Oryzias latipes: one gene and its partners. The protein of the gene in region 3 interacts with the protein of the main gene of each other region in a biochemical or structural test. Links are inferred from orthologs where the notes say so. Each region holds a gene or a part of one and is shown on either strand. Other genes may lie near its edges.

Region 1 (3,420 bases), on a different chromosome or scaffold from region 3:
TTAGCATTTCAGCTGGAGCTTTTTGCAAAGACTCCTTTCACGGCTTTACCCTCAACATGCTTTAACGGAGTACGTCCGTGCAGGAAGATCTGCAGAGGACAGTTATTTTAGTTGGACACCACTCCTGACAATAGACAGCATGGAACAGGCGCAGAGGAATGGAGCTCTCAAATGTTCACGACTGAAGGATTGTCCAAACAAAACCGGTCACCGAACGAGTCCAATTGATAATACACCCGAACATTTGTTTGCTGCAGCTGGTTACTATGACAGCAGGTTGCCTGGGGAGACGGCAGACTTTACAGGCTGTTGTTTAGGGGATTTATCTCCACAGCATTGACTGTTTGTGTTTGTGTAACTAAGGACTTTTAACATGGAAGTGAAACGGGCAAAAGGCCAGTTAAACAACTGGAGCAGTCTACATTGGTAGAATGATTAATGATACTGATCTGTGCTGCAACTTAAAAAAAAAAATCGGAATATTAGAAGACAGATTCCCAGGTATTTGGGTTTTCCAGGTTTAATCAGCCTCCATAATCATAAACAGCAGCATAGAGAGGCAAGTTTTGCTATGGCGACAGCTACAAAGTGAAGTAGAGAGAAAAATGTTGTCAACATACCGCATGTGATGCAATTTTATTCTTTCAGTCAGACATTGTGTTCTACATTTAGAGATCTTATTAAGCTTGTTATCCTAATCAAACCTCCTTTTTCAGGAAGAAAACTTGCCGCACCATCACATATGACGAATTCAAGGTTGCACTCGGTGAGCTGGCCAGGAAGAAATACAAAGACAAGACGGGGGAGGAGGCTGAGGCGGAGGTCTTTAAGCTGATCGAAGGGAAGGCGCCGGTCATCGCCGGAGTCACAGTAAGATCTGATTCACACCGCGCACATGATTTGTGCCTGTGTTAATAGCAAAGCGCAGTTACAGCCCGTCCGCTTCTTGACAGAGAGCCGTGGCGTCCCCGACCGTCAGCCGTCTGACAGACCCCACCAAGTTTACCGGCTCGCACAAGGAGCGCTTCGACGAAACCGGCCGCGGTAAAGGGAAGGCCGGGCGGGTAGACATAGTTGACACTTCAGGATACGTCTCTGGATACAAGCATCGAGGGACATATGAGAAGAAAGTGAACAAACCCACAGAGGGTAGACCCATGTGAGGGCGAAGAGAAACATTTCATCCACTACCAGGATGATTTTATATTTAAAAAAAAAACATACTTAGAAAGCACAAAAAAAAAAGGTTTCATCTATTTTCCCGCTCATCTGTTGTGTTTTTTTCTTTTTGAGGAGTTCTTCTCTTTGTGTAAGAACTGGAAAAATGTTTACAGCTATTTTTACAAAGTCGTCACCAGCTGGTACATTCCTGTCTGATAGCAAGTGACTGCCAAAACACGAGAAGAACAAATGCAACTGCAATGCCATGAGTATTCAAAGTCTGTTATGATAGGACCTTATGTTTATCGAGCACAACGAACAACATGCCAAGAAAAGCAGCATTGCAACCGTCTGATGAATTAGCAACATTGCACTTTTTAATAGAAACATTTTTACTACCATATTTAGCTACATTACATTATTCAGCACCTAAGGCGTTTTTAATCCGCTTTAGCTTCAGCTGTGATCGGCACACAGGTAACTGATGTTTGCTGTAAAAGCCTATTTCCTATTAAGCAGTGTTGCACTATGGCTTAAAAAAACCCTGTTCAGTCTTTTAATTAAGTTCAAAAGGTCACTGGAGCAGAAAGTCCTAAGATTACTCGTATTTATTTGAGTCACACCTCTAAAGAAAACTTTGAAAGGGATTGCTTTTACATGAAACTAAAGGGATCATTTTTCTCACTACTTCCTTTTACACACAAAGAAAATTAGGGCACCTAAATGTGTTAGCACTATTCCCAACTTTAAAGAATTTGTCTTTTTGCTCAACCGAGACATATTTGCGTTGTCAGCTTGTGTTTAAATGTGTCATATATTTTACTCTTCATTTAGACAAAAAAAAACTCCATCCCTTCATGCTGCGTGTGGCTCTTCATGAAATCTTTACTCTCACTGTGTTGACGTCTCAGAGTCTGCACAAAAGTGTAAAAAGCCTTTTCATTCTGATAAAAGTACTAACTCTTCAACAAAAGAAATGTTATTAGACTGTATTTTTAACATTTTCTCTTTAGATTAAAACTAATCAACCCTGTGGCAAGACTGTGTAAATATTCAGACATATTTAGCCGCGCACCCTAATTTAAATCACTGGTTGTGTGTTTTAAATTTTCCTGTGATGTGTACTTTTTTTTGCATGTTCTGAATATATTGTTCCAGGGCCTTTATGGATGAAAACTCTGAAACTGCTGTGCCAAACTAACAACTGTTGTGCTTAAAATGTCATTGAAGCCGTGGGATACTGATAAAATCTTGTGTTGCTTGAAATGTTTGCAAAGTAAATTATCCTCGAATGCAACTCTTTTTGTCTGTACTGTTAATGTTTGGTTATCGAACTGACGAAGCAGGGTTTTTTTAATGTTTATTTACTAAGTATTCCACATGAAAGGAGAAACAAACAAGCCACTTTTGTAAAATATTTTTCCAAGATAACAGTTTCTTGTGTAACGCACTACCTGTAGCCTCAGCCGATGAAGAGTCATGCATCAAAACTAGCAGCTCGGTGTGTTTTTGTGTCTGCTGCGAACGCTGGAGTATCGTTTCTGTGCTTCTGATGCCAAATAATGTGCACTTTTATTGTGGAGAAACAATAGTTTTCCAAGTCCTTTTTAACATGCTCATTGTGACCCAGTGCATGCCGTGTTTCAGCGTCTGTCCTTGATCTCGAGATTTCTCCAGGTGTGTTCATGATTTATAGTGCTTTATTCAAAAAATAAAGAAATCCCAACATGTGCCGAGTAGGAGTCAAAAATCAAACTGCAGCAACAGCACCAAACCAGTGACCGGTAACATTTAGAGGAGAGCCAAAGCTGTGTGGACTTTGTGTTGCATAGAAATGCTAAGCTGGTCAGTCTTGTATTAAGGTTTGTGAGAGGAAAGTGCATGTGCGTGCGCAGCCCTCTAGCCCTTCAGGCAGACGTATAAATAAAGTCAGAGTGCAGCTGCAGCCTTGATGCATCCACTCCATTGCAGACAGACACAACTGACCTAAAAAAAAACAGAGAAAAAAAAAGAAAAAGATCTTACAACAAGATCCAGAAAACCTACGACACCGACCTACCTTCTCACATTTTCTCCCTGATAATAATTTGTTAGCATAACAGACCTGACGTGCAGATATACACAATTTCATGAATGAATGGCTCTCCCTGGTTACTGTTTATATCAAGAAGAAAGTCTGTGCTAATTCTTTTAAAAGAAAAAACTACCGTGATTAAAATAATATGTTCAAATGCACCTTTCCATCATATCTGCCTCAAA
Region 2 (3,485 bases), on a different chromosome or scaffold from region 3:
CTCCAAATCTTGGTTTTAGTCTGGATTTCTGTGAAGTATTTAGCCTGTCTGTGGGGTGAAGGTTCTTAAACTCCACAGACATCACACTGACCTCCAAAGCAGCAGCTTCTTCTCCGGTTGATGATGGTTTCAGCCGTCTTCGTCTTTCTTCATCTCTCCCATCATTCAAAGGTTTCCTGGATGTGACGTCCTCCTGACACGTTAAAGGAAAACACACTGATTTGTGCTGATCAGGACTCTAGCCTGTCTTCTGCCTGACAGACAGAGCTCAGGGCACAGCAGGGATTGGTTTACATCCTAGGCCGTCCAAATATGGGGAATCTGAATATTATGGGCGTGTCAGATGTTTGGAGGGAAGGGCGTCTGATTGGACCTGCTGTATTTGCTCTTTAATAGATGATCAGCAGTTCGAGTACGGCGAGGACCTCGGGGTGACCGCTGTGGCGCTGTACGACTACCAAGCAGGTGAGGAGGAGGAGGATTCCGTTCTCAGCGGTTGACTTCAGCTGCACCTTCAGGGTCTGAAGCCGACAGCCCAGAGAAAAAGACGAGCTCTGTCTGACACATCAGGGTTCTGTTTGAACTCCTTCAGAGGCTAGAATGTCTTTCTTTTTGGAATCTAAGGGTGTGTTCAGACTGGACACGTTTGGTTCCCTAAGTGAACCAGAATTCGCTTTTCCAGATAATCTGGAACAAGTTTTCAGTCTGAATCCACCCAAGAGGACTCTGGTCCAGGACCAGGAACCGCTCTGTGACCCACCTTTGGAGGTGGTCTGGGTTCGTTTCCAATCAGATTCCTCAGCCTGAATACAATCCGTCCTCGGAGCGGAACATCTGGACCCACCGGGCCACCGTAGCCGACCTTAAAACGCTTCTGACAGGCTTTTCTGTGTGGTTACGGCCGACAAACGCCGCTGTGACGTCATCCTAAAAGTTACCTTGTAGTTCCTGAACAGAATTCTTCAAATCGACGCCATAACTGCACAACGATGAGATGCAGAAACTCATTCAGACTATTGGAAGGTGATCCACATCACTTCTCACCGTTTTCCTGACTGTCAGAAACACATTCGTGTTCTTCTGTCCGTCACCGTCCTGCAGCCTGACGTTGATGCAGACGTTCACATCTGTCAGTGAATCTAAAGTCTGAAGGAACTGAAAGTGCAGGACTTCCATCATTTCTGTCTCTGGTTGCTTTGCCCCGCCCTCCTAACTCCTGACCAATGAGTGAAGAGGTCTGCAGTCACATGGTTTTGTTGACAAGCTTTAGTCTGGAACAGAAAGGCTGCCTGACAGCCGTCTGAATATAGACCCAAGACAAGGTTCAGGACTCGATCCGGGTCAGAACCAAACGCTTCTCCGGTCTGAACACAGCCTACTACTCCTTTTTTAGAAAGCTAAAATTAGATGAAACTCCTGTAATTTATTTCCGTTTCTTTATCTCGACCTTCAAAATGCGAGAATAGGATTAAAGAAAATACCTTTTTGGAGGCGGAGTCTGTTTCCAGTGTCTGCAGATGGTTTTCTAACATCCATGTTTTCCGTCTCAGCTGGTGACGACGAGATCTCCTTCGACCCCGATGACATCATCACGAACATTGAGATGATCGATGAAGGCTGGTGGCGTGGCGTGTGCCGAGGAGCCTACGGCCTCTTCCCCGCCAATTACGTGGAGGTTCGGCAGTAAGGAGCGGCGGAGGGCCAGCCCCTCCCCCGGAGGCGGAGCCTCTGCCGCGGTCTTCCCTCCCTTCAGCTCATGTTCGTGATTGGACACAGAGAGACGTCGTCGCTCCTTTTCCCGCCTCAGACCGGCTTTCAGGTCAGGCGGCCTCCGATCTGTCATTCAAGTCATTCCACAGGTTTAGCCCCCCCTGCATCAGCGCGCGTTTATTACCCCCCCCCCCCCCCCCCCCCCCCCCCCCCCCCGGTGCAATCTTCACCAAAGAGTTGGAGTTGGTTTAAAGAACAGCAGAAGAACGGTTCTGCTGAGAGGTCCAGAGCGTCCTTCCTAGCTTCTGTCCGCCTGCGTCTCCTGCGCCGTCTGCGTCGTCTGCGCCGTCTGCGTCGTCTGCGCTCCGTGCTCGAACCCTCCGCAGGAATCCCTCGTCTCCGGCTGCTTCTGTGTTTTCTGGATGTGAGGCTGCCGCCGGCGTTGAGCAGATCCCGCGTGGATCCCGGCGATGTTCGGGACCCGCGCTCATCCTGAGTCCGCCTCGCCGCAGTGCAGCTGAAACATCCGCTCATCTTTGGGGAAACGGATTTAAAAAAGTGACCTTTTTCAAACGTTTGATCTGAAACACCTCTCTGCTTCAGTTTCATCATTATCTGCTCTTTTTTTTTAAAGTTTCAATAAATAAACGGAATAATATTTTTTCTGTGCTTCATTTGAACAAAGTGAGATATTAAAATAATCTGAAATGAAGATGAGGGGGAGGGGCTTATGGCGTCTTTAACTTTATGTACATCCATATTTTTTTACTTGTTGCTTCCTTTCCCCTAAAATGCTGTTTCTTTCAAGCCCGTGAGCAGAAGATGCTTAACTGTAAAGCAGAGCATGAACGCAGAAAACACGACGCCATTTATGATGTTCAGATCCGAATTCTAGGAAAATGTTTGGATGTTTAATGCACTTTCACTGTCTGAATTATCAAAAGAAAGCTGATATTTGATGTTTTGGAGCCTCAAATGTCCAAACGCAGCTGCTAAATGCAAAGGTTTTTCCAAACGGATCCCTTTTAAGATGCGTTTAGACGTTCCTGCTTTCAGGAAGCCAGCAGCAGTTCTGATCTGTCTTCATGTTAACGTCTGAGCACAAAAACATTCAAAGTCTCTTCATTCGGTTAGTTTGGATCCTTTAAAGACCCACTCTGATGGAAAAATGTTTGTAAAATGTTCTTGTCCCATTTTCTTCTCATGGTTGACACACACATATATACATAAAAGGATTAAAATTGCATTTGTATTTGTTTTCATGCTAATTGTTAATCAGAAGCCGACGGTAATCCGTTCTGATCAACAGATCCATGAACGTCTGTGTTTTCCTGGTCTGAGCTGGAGTCTGGATCAGAACCGGACGGCTGGATGGCTCTGACGTTGCTCATCACTTTCTGTTGCACCGCTAATATAGAGACCGTGTCCCACAGCCACTACGTACATGTTTCACATATTTCACGGATGGAAACTGGTCATACGTGAAAACGGAACAATGGTGGTTCTTTGGGATATTTTCACAGATGTTTCACATTAAAACATTAAAACCACGGAACACGTAGAACACGTAACCCCGCGCTGCATTGAGCTTCTTTACTCTGAGCAGAAATCACGTCAGCACCATGGTCAGCGCCCGCCGCCGGCCCCTCGCCACGCTTTACTCAGTTGGATTCTTCTGATCCAAACTAGTTCTGAGTCAGCTGCTGGCCGAGCCGGACGGGGGGAGCGGAAGACCCCTACTCGGTATAGACTGCTGGAGGGGGAAAAAAAATAGA
Region 3 (3,576 bases):
GATTTTCTTATGATGGTTAAAATTAATTTAAGTTGCACACAACTGAAATGTAATCTATTCAATGTGTTTACTGTGAATATGAATGACTTAGACACCAGAAGGATGCTCTGTCCAGATGTTTGTGTATTTGTTGGTGTGAGGGTCATTGAAAGAGGAATGTTGAGATACAAAGAATTAATAGTTAAATACTGATGGATGAACGGTGAAATATTCACTTGTTACAATCATCAGCCATCAACCTCACCGCACGTCACTGAGTATTTGTGTGTGTCAGAGACAGGCAGAGAAAAGAGAGAGAGAAAGATAGTGTTTGTGTGTGTGTGTATGAGATGTGACAGAGGTGCCTGTGTGTGTGGAGGGGGTATCTGACCTCCAGGGTTACCTGTGTTAACTCTGGCTAAGCTGCATTTGATGTGTGTATTGAGGATGGACGCTTTCCTTGAAATAAACACAAGTACCATACTTGCTGTTGTGTTGTAGGGAGAGGAGTGTGTTATGGAAAATGATATGGCTTTAATTGTGTGTTTGTGTGTGTACGTCTTGGCAGGTCAGTGTGTGATGTGGCTCTTTGACTCTCACAGTGAAAAAATTCGGCTCTTGGTGACAAACTTGTTCGCCACCCCTGACATAGACAATGGACCCAAAAACATATTTTCATATTTTTGGCACAAAAGGAACCTCATAAAGATACGCACACTCAGCAGAAAAAAAGGTACTTGCATGTTTTGTAGGTCTATTATTACCATACAGTGATACCGGCACACAGAGCAGCTGAGGCGCTCGCTTTCTTAGTATGGGGAGGAAAATCATTCATTTTTTAAAAGTGTGATTAACAGTGTTAGAAGATGCCTGCGTTTACGCATGATTGAAGCGTTAAAAGCGACGGCCCTAGTTGCTAGAATATTGTGACATGCAGAGGACTCAGTGTGTGGTTTCCATGACCAATCAGATGGTGCAAGTGGCAGACAATGCTGGACACATGCATTCTCTGTCGTCTCTGCCAAAATAACCACTTCAAAATCGCCCCGTCAGATTAAAAGGCAGACGCTGATGTACATCAAAATAAAAAAATATGGGGCTGGCTAAAAATTGATCAACTCCAGATAGAAGCCCCCTCAAGAAGGCATGTAATAAGACTCTGCATGTAGGCTTTTCCTAAAGATGCTGAACAGTGCACTTTTCTCACTTTTCTCTGCTCTGAAAGCCTTTTTCGGTATCCAGGGTCTTTCCGGCAGATCTGCAGCCAGAGGAACCGGTCTGGTTTACTCGGAGATCTTTACTCGGCACCAAAACCTGTGGGAGCCCAGGTAACCGCGCCTCAGAACATTTGTTCTTTCTGGACTGCTTTGGTCTTTGGTCATGGATTCAGTTTGTGGTGTAGCATGGTCATTCTGAAGATCAGCAGGGTCCCCACAGAGGCTCAGACGTGTCCCTGTCACACAGGGACACGAAAGTTGCTGTTGATCTCTGTTGGTGACTCTCAGGAGCTTGATTGTGAAGAGTTTCTCAGGTCTTGGTGATCCTTGGATCCTCTGATGTTTTTCTCTCCTGCTGTCAGTCATCCAGAGAGTCCAGACAGAGTCAGGTCCATCATGGAGGAGCTGGAGCGGCAGCAGCTGCTGCCTTGCTGCGTCAGTGTTCAGGTGAGAGCTGTGAGCCAAAATTGAGAGTTTCTCTGATCAAAAGGAAAATACCCTCTGTTTGGCTTTCAGCCTCGGGCAGCTACAGAGGAGGAGCTGCTGCTCGTACACACGTGAGTCAGAGCAGGCTGCACACATGCACACACACACAACCCCTGTCTTTCCTGCCACCTCATCCCACACTTGTGCTCTGATTGTGTTATTCCAGGAAGGATTATATAGACCTGGTCAAGTCCACAGAGACCATGACACAGTCTGAGCTGCAGACCCTTTGTTGCAAATACGACTCTGTCTATCTGCATCCTGTGAGCAAACACGCCTGCACACTAGCAATCACAAACGTACATGCACATACTCACACGTACACACAAACACTCATGCAACCACACTGGCAAATGTACTTGTAAACACATGATCACAGAAAATGTGCAAACAGCCACAAAATGTACTCACACTTATACTCAAACACACATTAATGCACAAACGTACACAAACTCAAAGAAACAATTATATGTGCACATGCACATAGGTGTGTGTGCACCCTTGGAGTGAAAACATGCTTTTTCCTGTAACAGTGACATCATGACATTCAAGTCAAGTCAGCAGTGTGTCTGTATATCTTTGTCAGCTGTCCTTCAAGGTATGTGCAATAGCAGCCGGTTCTGTCCTGCAGCTGGTTGATGAGGTCATGGCCTTTAATCTCAGGAATGGATTTGCTGTCATCAGGTAAATGCAGCTGCTTCCTCTGTGATGCTTGGAGGATCAGGTGCGTGTCGTTTCTCCATCATTTAAGTCACCATTGTGATGTCTCTTTTTCTCTTACAGGCCCCCAGGTCATCACGCTCAGACCAGCGAGCCCAACGGTTTCTGTGTGTTCAACAATGTGGCAATTGCAGCTCGCTACGCCTGCAGCCGTCACGCCGTCAGCAGGTACAGTGTGTGTAGCCAAGGGAGCAGCAGCTTTCTAATGCTGTCATTCACATCTTCTTTGACACCATCTACACAGCTGTGCGCCTCTGATCTGGTGCTATTCTTTTTATCGCTTTGTCTTTCAGGGTTTTAATTGTGGACTGGGATGTTCACCATGGGCAGGGTCTTCAGTACCTTTTCCAGGAGGATCCCAGGTAATTGGTGGGGTTGTAGGTCAATACTGTAGGTTGGGTGTTCAAATCCCCTGTTAGAGAGTCATTGGTGTAAGGCAGTGCTTTTCAATTATTTTTTCCAAGGCCCCCCTTAGGAAATAGAAAATGCCCCCCCCCCCCACACACACACACACTCACCATGGTTCAATTCAATTTTTTCAATTCAATTTTATTTGTATAGCCCAAAATCACAACAACAGTCATCTCGATGGGCTTCGAAGTGAAACATGAACTCAAAAGGATCACAAATACAAAGAGTTCAATATTAAAATACTAAAATGAACTAACAAACTGACTAAGCTATACTGGCATCCCTGCCCTTAGACCCCCCTTCGCGGTAAGGAAAAACTCCCAAAAAACCGGATTCCGGAAAAACGAAGAAACCTCAGGGGTGTCCACATGAAGGAGGGATCCTCCCCCAGGACGGACATGCGATTTACCAGAACTCAAAGAGAAGAATTTACTTATTTAAATCTACAACTACACATTTAAAGTCCAGCAGACGAGCTTCATCCAGCCGTGGTTGGGGGGACAGTCAAAGGCGCGAGTCGAGCCGGAGACAGGAACCACAGCCAGGTGTAGGAGCAGGAGCAGAGACGAGGTACTCGGTCAGGTACAGAGCAGAGACGAGCCAGAGATGAGCCAGAGGCAGGATCCACAGCCAGGTGTAGGAGCAGGAGCAAAGGCGAGGTACACGGTCAGGAACTGGAGCACGGATGAACCAACTGGAGTCTGGAAGCACTCCCACTCCCCAGGAGGGGAGAGGAAAAGAGGAACAATACATGAATCACTGC

Evidence for each region. The genes of interacting proteins can lie anywhere in the genome.
Region 1: the proteins of hdac6 (region 3) and tppp form a complex in vitro, tested with the Homo sapiens proteins (2 studies listed by BioGRID). The link is inferred for Oryzias latipes from reciprocal best matches to the Homo sapiens genes HDAC6 and TPPP.
Region 2: the proteins of hdac6 (region 3) and cttn form a complex in vitro, tested with the Homo sapiens proteins (3 studies listed by BioGRID and IntAct, with this or other methods). The link is inferred for Oryzias latipes from reciprocal best matches to the Homo sapiens genes HDAC6 and CTTN.

What each region holds. Positions count from the first base shown.
Region 1 is NC_019874.2:16,680,327-16,683,746, forward strand, and holds the end of tppp (tubulin polymerization-promoting protein), read left to right. Parts: intron 1-716; coding exon 717-870; intron 871-953; coding exon 954-1,163; 3' UTR 1,164-2,891; downstream 2,892-3,420. Other genes in the region: cep72 (centrosomal protein of 72 kDa), read right to left, coding at 3,405-3,420.
Region 2 is NC_019861.2:2,175,495-2,178,979, forward strand, and holds the end of cttn (src substrate cortactin), read left to right. Parts: intron 1-91; exon of another isoform or gene 92-193; intron 194-393; coding exon 394-465; intron 466-1,481; exon of another isoform or gene 1,482-1,550; coding exon 1,551-1,687; 3' UTR 1,688-2,956; downstream 2,957-3,485.
Region 3 is NC_019865.2:34,318,345-34,321,920, reverse strand, and holds part of hdac6 (histone deacetylase 6), read left to right. Parts: intron 1-1,204; exon of another isoform or gene 1,205-1,221; coding exon 1,222-1,307; intron 1,308-1,558; coding exon 1,559-1,643; intron 1,644-1,712; coding exon 1,713-1,753; intron 1,754-1,848; coding exon 1,849-1,945; intron 1,946-2,268; coding exon 2,269-2,366; intron 2,367-2,465; coding exon 2,466-2,570; intron 2,571-2,695; coding exon 2,696-2,764; intron 2,765-3,576.